2 linked regions of the Lonchura striata genome follow. The protein of the gene in region 2 interacts with the protein of the main gene of each other region in a pairwise test. Links are inferred from orthologs where the notes say so. Each region holds a gene or a part of one and is shown on either strand. Other genes may lie near its edges. The genes, in order: FST and thioredoxin.

Evidence for each region.
Region 1: the proteins of thioredoxin (region 2) and FST interact in binary tests that used the Homo sapiens proteins (3 or more experiments, as listed by UniProt). The link is inferred for Lonchura striata from reciprocal best matches to the Homo sapiens genes TXN and FST.

What each region holds. Positions count from the first base shown.
Region 1 is NC_134642.1:32,791,542-32,800,653, forward strand, and holds the start of FST (follistatin), read right to left. Parts: upstream 3,446-9,112; 5' UTR 3,369-3,445; coding exon 3,287-3,368; intron 1,233-3,286; coding exon 1,041-1,232; intron 643-1,040; coding exon 424-642; intron 80-423; coding exon 1-79. UniProt on the Homo sapiens protein: Multifunctional regulatory protein whose primary function is to antagonize members of the transforming growth factor beta (TGF-beta) superfamily including activin, myostatin, GDF11 or bone morphogenetic proteins (BMPs).
Region 2 is NC_134642.1:61,378,866-61,386,959, reverse strand, and holds the start of thioredoxin, read right to left. Parts: upstream 3,701-8,094; 5' UTR 3,562-3,700; coding exon 3,538-3,561; intron 1-3,537. UniProt on the Homo sapiens protein: Participates in various redox reactions through the reversible oxidation of its active center dithiol to a disulfide and catalyzes dithiol-disulfide exchange reactions.

The sequences.
Region 1 (9,112 bases), about 29 Mb from region 2:
CATGTCACACAATACGCGTTGTTGGTTTGGTCGACCACACATGTGGAGCTGCCTGGGCATAAGACATCTCTGCAGGTTTCTGAAATAAAGACAGAAACAAAGTGATTAGTAGAAGATACTAGGACCCCAGTGATGAGTGTACAGGTGACAACAAGAACAAATGGCCATATAAAAGCCTTCAGCAGCTCTCCTCGTTTAAGGGCTGCTGGATGATGCCTTCATATCTCAGGGTAGCTGTGTGAACAAAAGTGCTGCCAGACTATGGGGAGCTTTGGTTCAACTACATCCTTGTCTGCTGAGCACGGTCTAGTTACTCTCTCCCAGCCTGGTTCCTATGAGGAAGTACACCCAATATCTCCTTCCTACTCTCAGACAGAAACCCTTTGGCATTTGAGGGAGATTGGATTAGATTTGCAAACCTACTTTTGCATTTGCCCTGATACTGGACTTCAAGTTCAGGCTGTTCTTTACATCTGGCTTTGAGAAGGGCGCACTCGTTCCTGTAGGTTTTCCCATCTAAGCCACACACGGGACCCTTCCAAGTGATATTAGAGCAATCCGGAGCACAAACACACCGAGGTTTGTTCTTCTTGTTCATTTTACATTTCTTCCCGGGTCCACAGTCCACATTCTCGCATGTTTCTGATGGAAGGAAAGAGGCACCACTTTAGTACCAAGTGTGCAGAAGAGACCTGGTGTCAAAACTGCTTAAAGAAAGAAAGATACCGTGAACCCAGAGCACAGAGCAAAAACACCGTTCCCTCCCGTTCCAGGACACGCCGCTGGAGGTAAATTCCCTCCCGCCAGTGAAGGCAGGGGGGAGAGAGGGTCTCTCCCATCCTCCTTGTGAAGTGCAAGGCGGCAGGCAGAAATGGGGGGTCCCCCCCCACGATCCCGGGGCTGGTACGAGACGTCCCTCAAAATCCCGACGAGGAAGGAAGCAAGAGAACAGGGCTGCCCCCCCACAACTCCCTCCCCGCTCCTCCTCCCCCTGCCGGAGCCGCTCCTCAGCGGGGAGCAGCTCGCCAGCACCCCCTCACCTTTGCATGGGATGCAGTTTGGGGCTCCCCCATTAAAAATCATCCACTTAAAAAGCGTATTGTCGTTGACGTCCTCCGCCGTCCACGACGTGGTCAGGCGGCCGCTCTTGCAGCACTCCTCCTTGCTGAGGTCGGTTTTGTAGAGGACCTGGCAGCGCCCGTTCCGCGCCTGGCGGAGCCAGCAGTTCCCAGCTGTGGGGCGGGGGGCGGGGGGGACACCCAGACGGATCAGTGGCGGCCACCAATGACCCAGACACAGCACGTGCGCCTTGCCGTGACTTTTACTAGACTGCTTCCTTTTATTTGTCCCGTTTCATAACCCGCAGCTACTACGGCCCATTTGGAAGCGCAGTTTAAAAAACAAACAAACCCTCCCCCCCCCCCACCAAAACCCAACCGAACAAAAAAATCCTCCCTAAAACCACAAAAGAACTAAAAAACCCAAACCAAGAAAACAAAACAAAGTCCAAAACAAAACAAAACAAAATGAACGAAAGAGAAGACCGAACCAAAACAGAGCTAGAGTTTTTGGAGGTATTTATTCCATATGTAGAGCAGAAGGAGCACTGCCGACACGTGACAGAGGCTTGAAAAGGATGTGCATTTAAAAGGGAATAAAAAGAAAATCGCGCTTGCAAATTCCTTCCTCCTCCCCCTGCCCTCTCCTCCTCACCGCGGCTGCACAACAGCATTGTTTTAGTGCTGCACAGTTTCACTCCCAGCCCATTTTGCAATCTGCACGAATTTGGAACATTTGCTGTTAGCGAAGTCTTTCGAAATCGCCACATTTTGCTGTTTCTATTAACAAATGTCTCCTTCACTAACATAATTCAGCAGAGTTCCAAAAAAAAAAAAGTGGGCAAAGTACATAAAATACAAGGACACTTATAGTAGGAGGTCCCTATAGAGTTTTAAAAATCGATCAAGCTGGCAAAGTTATAGGTTCCATCTCTCCTGCAAACATTTCAGAGGAAAGTACACTGTCCTTACACAGGATAGAGTGGGTTTTCTTGGGGTTATTTTTTGTCTTCCTCCCCCCCCCCCCCCCCCCCGCCCCCCCGCCCCCCCCCGTATCCCTGTTATTTGTGGAGTCCAGCCAAGAACATTGGTCCAAGCAACTCCCCCTTTTTTAGCTGAAGCATTTTAGTTGAGATGGGTCTCCCGTGAATAACCAATGTGACTTCTCCAGCAACTCAATACCAATTGACTCTCCCGCTAATCCAGCCAGGGCTCGATCCTTCCTCCTTACTCCGATAGGAATGTACCGCAGCGCGGGGTGAGGATCGGCCACAGCAGAGATGTTGCTGAGCGCGGGGGAAGACACCCCCCCCCCCCCCCCCACCCCGCTAAAAATCATTAAATCATTGAACAAACAATGCCCTTATTAAAAAAATAAAAAGTTTTATGTCTTACAGTTGGCTAGGTTAGATTAATTATCGGTACTGGGGAAGAGAAAAAGAAAAGAAAGAATTATAAAAGAAGCAATGCCAAGACGTCCAGGTTGGAACATGGTCAAGAATAGGGGAAAAGCCCACAAACTAAAGATCAATATTCCCTTGTGTCGAAAGAGGGCTCTTAAGAGTTGTCAATATCAGATTCGGGTTTGTTTTGTTCACACGAGGAAAAAAAAAAAAAAAAAACCACACCAAAAAAAACCCCAAAAAACCACCACCAACTCACCAACTTATTTAAGCATACTCTTCAGTGCAGGAGAATTTACAACGTTAATATTTACTCAGACACACACTCAAAAAAAAAAAAAAAAAAAAAAAAGAGTAGGGAGGAGGAGAAAATCCCAATATTAAAGTCAATAAAATGACCACTTATTGGTTTCTAAAAATGTCAGATGTAATCCTGGGGTTCTCCATCACCACCTCTCCTTCAGTCAGTTAGGAGAAATAAAAATCTGAACTAAATTACCAACAAACTTCGTGCATTCATTCGGGAGCCGAGACTGGGAAAGTTCCCTCACGATGCTGCTCTTCATTCACGCTCCATAATAACAATAAAAAAACAAGAAATAGCCTATCTGTCCTCTGTTCCTTTGCTGAGCAGTGCGAAGATCCGATTAAAAAGGGATCTAAATGACACCTCTGCACCTCGCTACAAAGCCCATAGTTAACTTCTGTTCTGTTGGACCTTGGAGAGAGGCGTTTAACACCGCAGCAAACTAAACCCTGCCCGAAAGACGGAAAACATTAGTAATAATAAAGAAACATATGTGCGAATAAACAGTCTGGTCTTACCCTGCACTGTGTGATCTTCCATGAAGTGGCACAGAAACATCAGGATTAAGAGCATGCCCGGGTGGATTCTCTGATTTAACATCCTCAGTATAGCAGGGAGTGAGAGAGACGCAGAGACAGCGTGAGGGGGAGTAAGGAGAGGGAGCGAGCGCTAGCCAGCCTGCTTATGATCGCTCTATTGAATGAACGTCAGGCTCTGAATGCAGTCTCTCTTTAAATCTATACGGGGGTCCTAGCTGTCTGCGGTGGGCGGTCTCCTAATGTGTGTGTGTGTCGGGGGTGGGGAGATTTAAAAAGTTCAGTGTGAATCAGGTGACATTTCCCACCTTCTGGAAACCCTCTCCAATTATCCGCTCTAGGTGCACGCATACACAGGCGCGCACCCGCGCACCCTGAGCGGCGGAGCCGCCGGCGGGGGCAGCGGCGGGAGCGGCCCCGGCCCGGCCCGGCCCGGCCCGGCCCCGGCTGCAGCCCCCGCCGCGGAGCCGCCGCGGCCGCGCAAGCGCCACGGGAGGCTGGAGACCCGCGGGGGGTCGCGGCCGCCCCAGGGGCGCCCTGGCCCCTCCGGCGGGCTGGGGGTGCTGCCGGGGCGCGGAGCGGAGCCCGCCCGGAATCGGCTCCGCGGGCGTGGTCTCAGCGCGAGGTGGCTGCGGGGGATAACATCCCACTCCCTGCACCTCCGCCGGCCGGGCGGACAGATCGCTCGGCCCAAAGAAACCCCAAACCCCGATCGACTAGCCCCAAACCTGAAAAAAACCCAAACCCCTAAAAGACAGAACCGGCTAAAAGTTTAATACCTAGGGCCGTTCCCGGGTGATAGGCTTTTCATTGGGAGAGCCCGGGAGGACGAGACGGCAACGGGGGCGACGTAGGCGGTCTCCTTTCAGAAACAGAAAGATTGCAACATCGATAATGAACTTCTAGGGCACTAGTTTATTAAGCACAGTCTGGCATTATTCTCTCCTTAGAAAAGTTGGCGGTCTCTCATTTATAACATTTTTTGGCACCGCTGAATGAAACTGAGTAGGCGATATTTCCTTTTATACAAAACGATTACTTAACGGAAAATGGTATTGTTTATTCAAAAGCTGCCTTTTAAATTTCGATTCTTTCGCTTTTCTGAGCCACCAAAGCACAACAGACTGCGAAGTATGCAGACAGGAATGCCCGGACAGTGCCGGGTCAGGGGCCGGTGCGCCGCGGCCGCCCGCGCCCTCCGCCCGGCCTTCCCCATACCCCTCCTCCCCGCTCCCGCCCCCCCACCTCCCCCTCCCGACTGCCCCCTCCCCACAACTGCAAATAACTCAGTGATAACAGATTTTTTTCCACCAACTGCAGGAGATAGTGCTAATCTTTTAATAAAAGATCCCATTACAATGGGATCTGTCTGGACAGACTATAATAGATCCAGAAATACAGCCGTGCTAATATTAGAAGACAGTTGTTTGGGTGCCTCAGGCCGGGCCCTGGTCCCGCTTTGAAAGTGGGCATGAATCACAATGTCCCTCGGTACCACCTGCGGTCACACGCATTAAGGAGCAGACTGGTAAATGATTGACCTCGCTGCGGTTTTTTTTTTGGCTGTTTTTTTTTTTTTTTAAATTATTATTATGATCCTCGTCCTCCTCGTCCTGAGCATCGCCCGGGCATTTTAAGCACTTCAGAAGCTCCGGGACTCCACATCCTTTTTAATCTTTTCCCAGATTGGTGCCACTCTCCCCCTGCCCCCCGCCCCTGCTGCCGGAGCCGCGCTCATGCGGGGTTGCGTAGTGCCCTCTAACGGCGGCGGCGCGCAGCGGCAGCGCCCGCGCCCCGGCCCGAGCCGCCCCTGGCCGCGCCGGGTTCGCGTCCCGGGCAGCGCCGGCGCCCGGCCGCAAGGTGCTGCGGGGCCGCTCCGGGGCCGCTGTGCCCGCGGGCTGCGGGCACACCCGCTGCGCAGCTCGGGCGGCAGCACAGCTCCCGCCGGGGCAGCGCTGGTGCCGGGGCTGGTCCGGGAGGAGTCCCGCGGGAGGCTCGGAGGGATCCCGGCGGTGGCGCGGGGCGCGCTGGCGGCTGCTCCCGAGCTCGGCTGGGCTCGGCCCGGCACTGCACGGCTGCCCGGAGGGCTGCGGGGTCAGGCTCACCTTCCCGTGTTCCGTTTGTGTATGTTTTTTAGTAATTGGCCAATACAGTGTTTATCCTGAAAATGTTTTCAGTTATAGAGGGGCGTTTTCAGGCCGTGTTCCTGGAAATGAAACGCAGAATGGGTCGATAAGGTTTACACATGTGCTTTATGCATGCATCATCGGGAGATCAATATGATTGCCCTGGTATGGAGATTTGTATCACACCTGTTCTCTGACATCACTTAGAAACAGCTGCTGTTTCTTTTACTGTTTCCCCCCCCCCCTTTTTTTTTTTTTAATTTTATTTTTCTTTTTTAAAATGCTAGATACTGGATTTGTGAGTAAGAACATGTCAGGGACATATTATGTAATCAGACATGATTTCTTCTTTCTCACTATGTGTGCTGCTCTTTATAACTCCCCCACCCCTTTCTGCTTTGCCAACAATCATATTTAAATTACCAAAAAAACAATAGCGTCGATCTGTAACTGAACTGTCAGGCAGCACAAGAAAAGAGTGTTGTTTTCAGTCTGACAGGTTTCACAACTTTTTTCTACCAAGAAATGTATGCATTTTAATATAGGCTTTTGGACGTGAATCCAATCTTTGCAGCTGGCCCTGATCTTAGAATAATAGAGCTTTTAAAAAAAACCCTTATATACTTACATCTCAGACTTTCAGAAAGTTCAGATTTGGTTCTCAATTTACATATTTATGTGTTCTAATATAGCAATAGCCATAGCTACAGCTACAGCAAACTCCATAATACAAAATATTAAGTGGCTGGCCTCTGAAAAAAATAGCAGCAAAATATGAAGAAGGAGGAAAAGTAATCAGCAAGTTACCTTGTCAATATGTGCTATTAATTCACACACAGATGCAGACACACACATACATACACATATGTGGAATATTAACCTTGTGATGTCAATATTAACTATGTGATGTACTAGTATTGATATTACCTTTTACGCCCTTCCCCTCACTCTGTTGCCTAACAGAAGAGTGGTTGCTGGTATCAGGAGTGGACCACCTAGGAACCCCCTCTTTGATAAGGAACATGTTTGCAATAAAATTTTTTAGGTTGTGGATAGGACTCCATGCCAAAACCGATTATTTGGAAGAGATATGGATTTTGATCAAGCGCAAATGGGAAGGTCTATCCTGGCAATCTAACATTCAAGGGAGCTAAAAAAGACTCAGACACCCTCCTGTGGTCCTGGATGCATGTATGCATCATCCCATGCAGTTTCTCACACAACTAGCCTCTCCCACTCAAATAAAGGTAGAACGTCCTCTTCTGGTAGAAGACTTGTTACCTTGCTTTGTTCCCATCTAATTGCACTGATTATCACAAAAAGAAGGGCCTGTTTCTGAAAAACTGCAATTTCATGTAGGCTCTCCTCATTTGCATCTTAGATACTAGACTGAAGGACTTTTCTGAGTACCATTGTATTGTACTATTTGAAAAGCTTTCCCTCCACTTTTTCTTTTTAAGTATGGGAGAATAATTACAGACCTTAAATAACTTTTCTGTAGAAATTTCATGTGCTATTTCTTGGAAAAATGTAGCATAAAAAATTGTATTACAAAATTTGATTTCTTGATTTGACCAAGACCTTTTGTGAAAAACAAGTAAGTTCCTGATGAAACTAAGCTCTAAAATATGTGAGCTGAATTTTAATATCAAGTATTGGCTATGTGTGCTATTCCACTGAAATTGTTCCTGCACATCAGTGAGACTATTAAACATAGAACTTGCAGTGCATGCTCTTGGGGAGTGTTGTGCTTATCGGATGAATACAGAGATGCTGAACAGTTGTTTTTTCTTTTTTTATTAAATTGACCCAAGAGGTTATGGTGGGCAATGGACTGGATAAAGAGGTAGTAGGGAACTTACCTAATAAATAACACTGGTAAAACTGTTCATTCTGGTTCACACTGCAGAAAGGTCATGTAGGCAGGTGTCATTCATGTTTTCGGTCAAATAATATTGACATATATGTGATATGAGCCAAACTGACCCCTTCCTTACCTCCCTTTGGTGGTTCAGGAAGTAGTAACAGAAATGTGTATCCCCTAACAGTTTGAAAGATACCTACCTCTTACTGGAAGTACAAACATGACAATGTCCAAAGACATTCTCTTGTCTTGTGCTGGCAGTACCACAGACCAACACAAGGAACTGCAGCAAGTCTTATTATTCAGTACCCATTGCAAACGGGATGTGGTGTGGCAAGACGAGGTTTAATGTGCCAGTGGAATGAAAACAGGTTATTAAACAAATTGCAAAATCTTTCTGGATTGTTGAAAATTTGGACAAAATTGTGAAATTCCAGTAGAAAATGGTATTGGAAAAAACTATAAGGGAACTCTTAAAAACATTAACTATCTAAGGAATCAAAATTAAAAAAATTATGAAGGAGTCTACTGATCTATTTCTTTCCTGATTTGTTGAAGAGGTGCTCCTCTGTATAGTTTCAGACAATATTAAACAACTAGAAATGTGCAATAGATCATGGAATTTCTGGGACAGGTCTTTCACCTTGTTGGGATTGTAATGTTTTCAAGAGTACCAGGAATTCAGATGTAGATTCTAAATTAATTTTTTAAAATTTAAAAAAACTGTTAAAAAGGAAAGAAAAGATAATTATTGTGGGAAACTTGCTCTTCACAGTTTTTAGGATGCTGCTACTGTAAAGAAATGCCAGAAGGACAGCACTGCTAGTTCGAGACAGCCCATTTACACATGAAGGCTTAAGAAGAGGCATGGTAGGAGGGAGCATGGAGTTTGCATAACAGTCAAGGCAGAACAGCCCCTGGAAGGCCATTTCAACCTTTGGCTGTCTGAAGTCATGTGTTAAGTGAAGGATGGCTCTTGCCCAGCTTCCTGACAGGCAAATTGCATTTTATACTTCCACAACTATTCCAAGTGAAGCTATGTCATTCTTGGTGACCAAACTTCAAATTTTTAAGTTGTAATTAGAGATGAGGAGCACAGTGCTTTCACAATGGCTAAATCAGATTATGTGTGGGTATTGTGCTTTTGAAGTCTGCAGCATTTTGTAAAGCAGACTTCAAGAGACATATAAGTTGGCAATCAGTTGCAGCTGAACCAGGTCTGGAGACTAAACCAAAGATATAATGAGGACAGACATAGTTTGTAAACAACTACTTTGAAAATTAAGTCAGTTTTTGCCATTACTTTACATTTCTTTTTGTTAGTTTTTTGTCTACTTATTAGAATTAATGTGAAGTGCATATCTGATTATTTGGAAGTGTGGAGTCACATAACTCTCTAATCCCAAAAAAGTCTGTGTTTGACTGTAGGTCCTGGATTGGAGCTTAATGGAAAAAAAAAAAAAATCACTATTAAGAATGATAGTCAACTTTGACAAGCTGAATGTAGCAACATAAAAAGGGTAATAAATGGAGAGCTTCCAGCTCAATGCATATATCTGGTGATATATGTACTGGATTGTGTTTCTAGACTAAGAGAGTAAGTGCTTGACTGCATCAAAGTTACAGGCTTGCTAAGGACAGATCATTAACTTCTTGTTGTGTGGTTTGTATTTACTTTATTGCCAATCTAGGAAGAGGATCAATTTTAGTGGCTTACTTTCAGTATTAATGGAACCAAATGGATTTTAGACTGCTGTTTAGTCAGTGCCAGCTTACTGGGACATTATCAAAATTGTCCTATATGGTACCTCTTGGTAA
Region 2 (8,094 bases):
TTCATGTTAACTGTAAAGTGACAAGATTTCTTATGAAAAACTAAATAATCTCTGTTACCAGAAGGGGAACCTCCCATCACAGTGCTATTTGTCACACTTTGAAAGGATCTTACAGCTTTGTTAAGCAGCATTTTCTCTGGGTAACAGCACACTGGGGGAAACCTCAGCTAGCATGATGGTCAATATTGGTTGGTTCCTTGTGGTGGTGGTTTTTTTATTGTTGTTTGGTTGTTTTTTTTTTTCCTTAAATATTTAACTACAATCTCCCTGAACACAAGACCTCATTTTACTTGTATTGTTGTCCAGCAGAAAAGAAACTTGGTACCTTCAACAAACACATTGGTAGCAGGCATCTGTTCCCTAGGGCCAAATAAGAAGCTCTAATAATGAAAGCCTCTACTGCCTCAGAGGTTCCCAGCACCAGGTAGTGCTTCAAAAAGGAGGCTGCTGGCCTCCTTCAGATGGTGCTGAAAGGAGTCTGCTGCTCTCAGCAACAGATAATATAGGTCCACACTATCTGGCATATTTGATTACAGCTTGGTTGTAAACATTATTTTCTCAAGTCACCCTTGAATTCACCCAGTCATCGGCTGAGTGCCAATGTAATCTAGAGAGGTTTTTTAAAATACAGAAGCTAGCATAAACAAAGCAAAGGTTCAACTGCCTGAACTCCCTAGCACACACCACCTCTAAAATTATCACTTACAGCAAAAGCTGCAATTTTTCAGCATCTTCTTTAACTTAAATAACAAGAGAGGCAGCTAGAATGAAGAGAAAAGCTTTGGCAGCTTTTTAATTTTATACACCCCATTAGCTTTGGCTATAAAAAGCAGTATGTCCCATAGTCAAACCCTCTTACAAATTACACTAGTCACTCACCTCAAGGCCACTAAAAAACAGTAACAATACATCTCCTTCTGTGCTATAGCAGGTACTACAGAAGGAACAGTCAGGCACCCTGAAAGTAGACATTCTTCAGAAGCCAGTCTCCTTCTGAGGAGGTGTGCAGGGAAAAGGGCCACACCTACCTAGCTCTCACTCATAGAAGCTCTTGCAGACAGTGCAAGAATGGGTTTTTACCCTTTGTATCAGAGAATAATACAAACCTGCTTTACTGAAAACCAGAATTAATCCAGAAATCCCAGCTGCACTGCACTTGAATACTCTGGGTGTCACCGAGGTTAAAATGCTGTTGTCAGCATGACTGCCGAGTTCACACTGTCCATGAATGCAAAACCAAAGTTCGCTTTAGCTACAGCAGACTGTTAAACAACACTCATAGCTAGGAGGATAGTGAAAGCCTGCCTAAAGAGTAGGCTCCTCCTCCAGAGCCAGGTTTGACTTGCCATGTTTAATCTGTTACACCCTTACACCAAAAGTTTGCCCCTTCTGTGGCACCATAGACAGAGAAGGGGGAAGAGATACAAAGCAGAACAATTCTAGGTTGTAGTCACACACCATTCTCTCTTCAGAACCTGAAATGGTAAGGCATTTCATTCCTCTTAAGGAGGTTTGTGCATTCACCTGCTTTTGAGCTGTGGTCACAAGTGTTAATTTGTATATTTATGTATCAGATTCCAACAATTTGCGGTCCAGTGGGAGAGGTTTGACATGCCTTTCATATATAAAGCGAACTGACTGTAGAAGAGCACGGCCTAGAAAACAAACTTGGATGTTTGAGAGACTGGAAAGACTGAGGTCTCAAAACATTTTGAGGTGCAAATGTGTGGGGGAAGGGGCAGATCAGACCTTGCTCTGGTGAGGCAGTGCACACCCGCATCCCTAGAGCCTTTCTCCCAGACAGTGACCACCAACCATGGGCACGCTATAGGCAAGGGGCACTTAAGGCCAAACATGCTGCAAGCATATGTCTTGACCCTGCCTCCTCTTGGAATTTCTATCAGCTGAACACTGCTAGAACCCAGCAGTTAGTAGCTGTATGTGCCCTTTTTAATATCTCTTCTATCTTTTTCTTCTAAGTCTCTCCTCTCATAATTTTTGAGTGACTTGAAATCAAACACGTTTAGAGCTTGCCAAGTTGAATGGGCTAAGTTAATGCTTTGGGAAGTGTTTTATGTTAACTGAATGTTACACAAAACCTTTTGCCAAAGTTCTTTGATTTTCTAAAGTTGCCAGTAAAGTCTTTTTTGACCTCTTGAGAATATCTTGACAGTATTTCTCCCGTGTCTAACTCAGAGTAAATGAGCCCTGTCAAAGACCTGTTAACTGTAAGCCCTGTTAAAGATCTTGCTGAGCGACTTTTTGGGGCCTTACAGGATACCCACACACCATCACTTGCAGATGCCTCAAAAATGAGATCAAACTGACATTTGCACCAGATTCCAAGTTCAAAAGGGTGAGACTAGCCCAACAGGATTTTTCCTGAAATTAAGAACTTGCTAAGTTTGCATGGAGAATATTTTTCGAGACTTGGGTTCCTAAGTTACAGCTAACAAGTACTCTATTGTTGTCTATCAACCAGATCAGCTGCTGTGCACAAAACCACATACTATTTCATCACCAGCAGGATATTCTCCATGTGTCTAGGCTTTATTACTACTTTCTATCTCAGAGCCACAGATGTGTTTGTATTCACAGAATCATCCAAACAGTGATGTGCTGCATTAGGGTTGTGAATACAACAGACAGCACCATAACAAGGGAAATACTTCTTATGCCAGCAACTCCTGCTGTTTAAGCACGGGGAATGGGCTCTAGCAGTTCCTTTCAAGTCAAGAATGGATGAACTCTTGCACGATGTCCTCCCCAGAAGTGCAACAGGCCAAACTCTAAGAAAGCCACCTAGTCCCCTACACACTAGCAGTACATAAAACAAATCAGAACTGCCAAATCAAGATACTATATCACAAAATCAGTTAGGTTGGAAAAGACCCCCGAGATCATCGAGTCCGAGATGTGACCCAACACCACACTGTCAACCAGACCATGGCACTCAGCGCCATGTCGAGTTCTTTAAACATCTGCGAGGACAGTGACTCAACCACTTCCCTGTGAAGCGTACCCCAACGCCAAATCACCCTGTCTTTTAAGAAATTCATCCTTATGTCCAACCTAAACCTCCTTTGACGCAGCTTAAGACTGCGTTCTCTCCGCCTGTCGCTGTAGTGCCCTGCTATCCGCTTGAGAAACGAAACCTTTTCCTTAAAAGAGCGATGAACAGCCCGTCATAAGGCGAGACTGCATCACGTCCCCGCTCACTCCGACTCCCCGAAGCCTCAGGTCCGCAGTTATTAGTTCCCAACCCTGCCCCGGCCGAGCCCTCCGCGCGGCTTCCCCCGGCCGCGCCGCATGGGCGAAGCAGGCTCCGCCTGCCCGGGCAGCACACGGGCTCGCAGCCGCCATCTCCCGCGGGCCCTCGAGGGCCCGGGGCAGCCCGAGCACGATCCCCCGCCGGCCAAACCGCGCCGGGCACTGCTAATCCCCGCCCGCCCGCCCGCCCGCCGGGCGATGATGCTCGTCCCGCCGGGCGCCGCTCTCACGGCGAAACGACACGACCGCCTCGCCCATCGGGCTCACCAGGCTGCTCACGATCTTCACCATGGCGGCGACGGTGGGAAAGGAGAGTCGGTGCTGTAAAGGCAAGGAACCAAGGGATTCGTCGCCACACAAGGCTCAGCTTCCCGCCTTGCCTCCCGCCGTCCCAGCGCGTCTCCGGCCCGCCCCGGCCGCCCTTTTATGCCCAGCACGGCGCCGCGCCGCGCATGCGCAGGGGCGACCCGCCTCCTGGCGCTGCCGCTGCCCGCGGCGCCGCTGGGGCCCCGCTGAGGGGCGGCGGCCCGGGAGGGGAGCGTGCGTCCCTGCCGGCTGCCGGGGGAACCGGCAGCAGCAGCGGAAGAAAGAAAGCCCAAGGAGGTTGGAAAAGTGCTGTGTAACGATGAGCAGGAAGTTGCTTGGCCCCTCCCCCTCCCCCCCCCCCCCCCCCCATCACGTCCCCGCGGGGAGCGGCTCTGTCTGACGCGGCGTTTTGCTCGCCTTACGAGAAAGGGAGCTGGTGTTGCCCGTAATGCGGGCAGAGTGGAAGGCAGGAATAAATGACGGGAATATTTTTTTCCTTGTTACTTTTTTTCCCTTGTTGTTTTCCTTCCCACCACCAAAAGCAGGGAGTGGCGCCCTTGCTCTGTGGGATGTGGGCCCTTGTGCAGCGCGGAAGGCTGCGGTGTTTAACCCGGGGTTAAACTCTGACCGCCTCCCGTAGCTCCCCTCATGCAGGGACTCAGCCAGAAAGACTCCTCAAGGGAATAGCTTAGCGTTCCCATCCGAGGGGGTTCTCTGGTGGAACCTACAAGTTCCATCCATCTTGGTTTTTTTCTCTGTGTTTTGGAGACGTCCCTTGTTTCATCGCAAGCTGTGCCACAGCTCACCCCACAGTGCAAAACAGGCCTGCCACAGCCCTGTTCTCCTTCTGTTGGGCTGGTAGGGTTTAATGTTGGACTCTGGACGTTGCTGACTCCAGTTCCTACTGCACGGGACCCAGGAAAGGTTAGGTGTTGGGATATTGGTGCCAGCTGTGTCACGAACGGGCTGTTTCTGCAGGTTTTAGCAGCTGGGTTAGCAGCCTGTGAAAGTTTGCTCTGGGATACACCTGAGCAGAAGGTGAGAAGACTTAGTGCAGGTCCTGGATAAAAAAAGAAATACAGTTCTTTCTTGAAAAGAAAAAGAAAACAAAAGACAGTTTGCCTTGGATACAGGTACCAACCCATCCCAACAGGATATGCCCTCATATGTTGCTTTACTTGTGGTAGAAACTGAGTAAGTAATTTTTTATTTTGGAAGTTTATTAAGTGTGTGTCATACTACTGCAGGAAAACTAGTAAGCTCTTTTCTGGCCCTATGGTTGCATCCCCTGTCTATATCTTTCCAGACCTGATAGGTTTTGTCTGCCTGAAACACTTTGATTGCTGCTCTTTCTGCTTCTTCCCCCACCTGTTAGATACCATGAGCATCTCCTTTTTTTTCTTTGGCAGCATCACTAGAGGAGCCAGGATGCCAGTGGGTGAGAAGCAGCACCATGAAGGCTTAGTGGTTTCTGTTGGCTTTTGTATTTTCATCCAGCTTCCTCCAGCTGGTCCCTGCTGCCCTTGTGTCCATGTGCCTTGTGGCTGACAAACACAACTGGTACATGTGTCCTGTGCTGCTTTGGGGAGGTGCAGCTGCTGCTCAGAAGAAAGCAGGAATTCCTCATCAGCCAAGGCACCTTTCTCTACAACCTGCGGCCTGGCAGGATAAATTAAGAAGCCCAGACTACTTTCAAAGTCCAACTCCTGAATTCCCCACCTCAGCCAAGCATTATGTGGCTCTTGCAGAAGCCAGTGCAAGCAAATGCAGGGAACAACCCACCCAAACAATAAATTCTTAGAAACCAACAGCCTTCTAAAGGCAAGTGTGGGTGGGTAAACCCTCTCTAAACTAGAAGGAAAAGTGTGTCTTTTCTTAGGTGCCATATGTGGCCACTCATCTCTTGCTGTGCTCACAGTCACTTGACTTAACAGGCTTAGGCATACAGCAGTTTGAAGTTCAAAATGTTGCTGTATGATTGTTGTATGGATGCCTAAAATAACTGGACAGTAATATAATATATGTGATCTGTGCTTGATTCTTAAATTGTTGTAATTACTATCATGACAGCACATAATAAAAATGCTACAGAGCAATGTGTATCCTCTAAATGGGTGTTTTGTTTTTTTAAACTGTGGAATATCTCATTGTTTAGCTCAGCAATGCTGTGGCTGTCCCATGTACACAGTCACTCATCCATAGGAGCCTCAGCTTCTCAGGTGCCCTCACTCCCACCCACTTTCCTCACAACCACAAATGCAACATACTTCTCTCCCCCAGGCTGCTGGAGAGTGGATGTTAAAAATATGCAAGTTGGCTGTGGAGAAGTTGAAAATCACGTGAATTTCATGATTCAGCAGACTGCTGTATGATGTGTCATACCCAGGAGTCACTGGGTAGGACGGTGGCCAGTAGATGGCTCTTTGCAAATCTGGGCTGACAGAGAATGAGGAAGCACTTAAAGACATTCAGGAGGGTGTGTTTGCTTGCTTCTGGAAGTCAGAAAATGTGGTCTGAGGAGGGGCAGAGTGAAAAGGCAATGTAACTTTCAAAAATTAGTCCCTAGATAGTTTCTCTTGCAGAAAGTCTGGAGACATAGAGAAATGACTGAGCCACCCATGCACTATAACTGAGTATATCTTTGCCACGCTCCTTGGATGTGTGCAAAACATGTGGGAGAGGAAGTCAGAAGGTCTAAATTTAGGTGCCCTCAAGTGAATTAATCAGTACCACTTAGGTGTAGGCCAGTAAAAAGGACTGTATTTTTGGAGAGCTCATGCTATGCCACAGTCATCACAAACATCCAGGTGGGAATTCAATTTGTGTTGTTTTAGTCACCTTTAAAGCTCCTGTGGTGGAAGGCATCCTTTATTTTTTGGGCTTTGTTTGTGTTGTTTGATGTCACCTGTTAGGTGAGAGCAACATGGGCCAGCAGTAGGAAAGAGCTTCACCCTGGAGGTGAACTCGGGGTGTGCTCAGGGTCTGACATGCAGTAGGGTTTTGGGAGGCTGAGCAAATTACAGTTTCAGTTCCTTCTGAGCTGCTGGGAGAGGTGGGAAGGAGGGTAGAAAAGGTGAGCAGCAGTAATCCCTGACAGGATGACCAGCAAGGCAGGTTGTAAATCATGGTGTCCCTCTGGATGAATGAGCCAGAGCTGTGACACACGGTCCCGGTGTGATGCCCCCCCAGCTCCACATGGCTTTCCAGATCTGTAGTTTAAAGGCTTTGGGACCATGAATTACCTTTCCAGGGCTTGCTTTTTCTTTTCTTTGTATGCCAGTGCATGTTGGTGGATGGAGGAATGCCATGGCGTGGTGAGACCCAAGGTAGGCTGTAGGTCTGCAACTGCACATCCATGAGCATATCTAAGAAAAACTTCTGTCTCCTAAAACCACTCTTAAGTGTCCTGACCTCTCAAATGTGTCATTCAATAAAAGGCACAGCTACAAGGATAATAATACTACAGCCATGGCACAGATGGTCAGTCATGTCCAACATTACAAAATGGTGCATCCAGCTGCAGAAATGAGGCAGCTGCTAGAGGCAACAACTCCAGCCATAGGAGCATCAGATTTTACCATAGGAAGGCCAGGTTATTTGCCATTGTCTTGCAATGTAAATTGAGAGTGTAACATCTGGCCCTGACATTGCAACAGGGCAGCAACCTTTAATTGTACTTTCCCTTTCCTTCCAGCCTGCCCTTCTGGAGGATTTTGCTTTTGTAACTCATGTATTAAAGGTGCAATAAATGTTTAATAATTGGATAGGTGTGCTTGGTGTTGTGCCAGCATAAGTCACAGAGGAAACATACTTCTTTCTCTCTTGCAGGCTGATGTACTGCAGATGTAATTGCCTAGAGTCTTTTGAATGCTTGGTGTAGCATGTATGATTAAAAAAGAGAGAAGCTGAGTAAAATGTGGGGGAAAAAAAGGGAAATAAAGATCTTGACCGCAGTTCATCTCCCCTTACCATGGGGGTATGTTGGTTAACAAAGCCCTTCTGAGAATCAAGAAAACATCCAAGTCACTTCCCTTACATACATGTTCCCTTCCCTCATTTTTGCTTCATTTTTGAATCTTTGGAGAAAAGAATTTCAAAACAGTCCAGAACTGATGAAGCTACTACTTTTTGGACTTGTATTAGAAGGAACCTGTTTTTTAAAGAAAGCTTCTGTGAGCTCACCTGGGTTTATGCCATGTTGTGGGTCTCCACAAAGGAAGGTACCCTGACAGGAGGTCTGTGAACATGGGAATGCTTATATGCACTCTCTGTTATCGAGACACTTCAGGCCTCATGTCAAGACAAACACATGTATTTGCCTTAAGTGTCTCAAACTCAGTCATCTCCTCCATGCTCTCAGCCTCTGTTCTTCCTTGGGTAGCAGAGCAGTCTAGAGCAAGCAGATCTGCATTTTTTTTTCTACAATACATGTTGTGTCTTTTTTTTTTTTTTTTCCCTAGAGAACCACATATTTTTTAGGGGATCCTTCATTTTCCTAGGGAATGATGCTGAATCTGT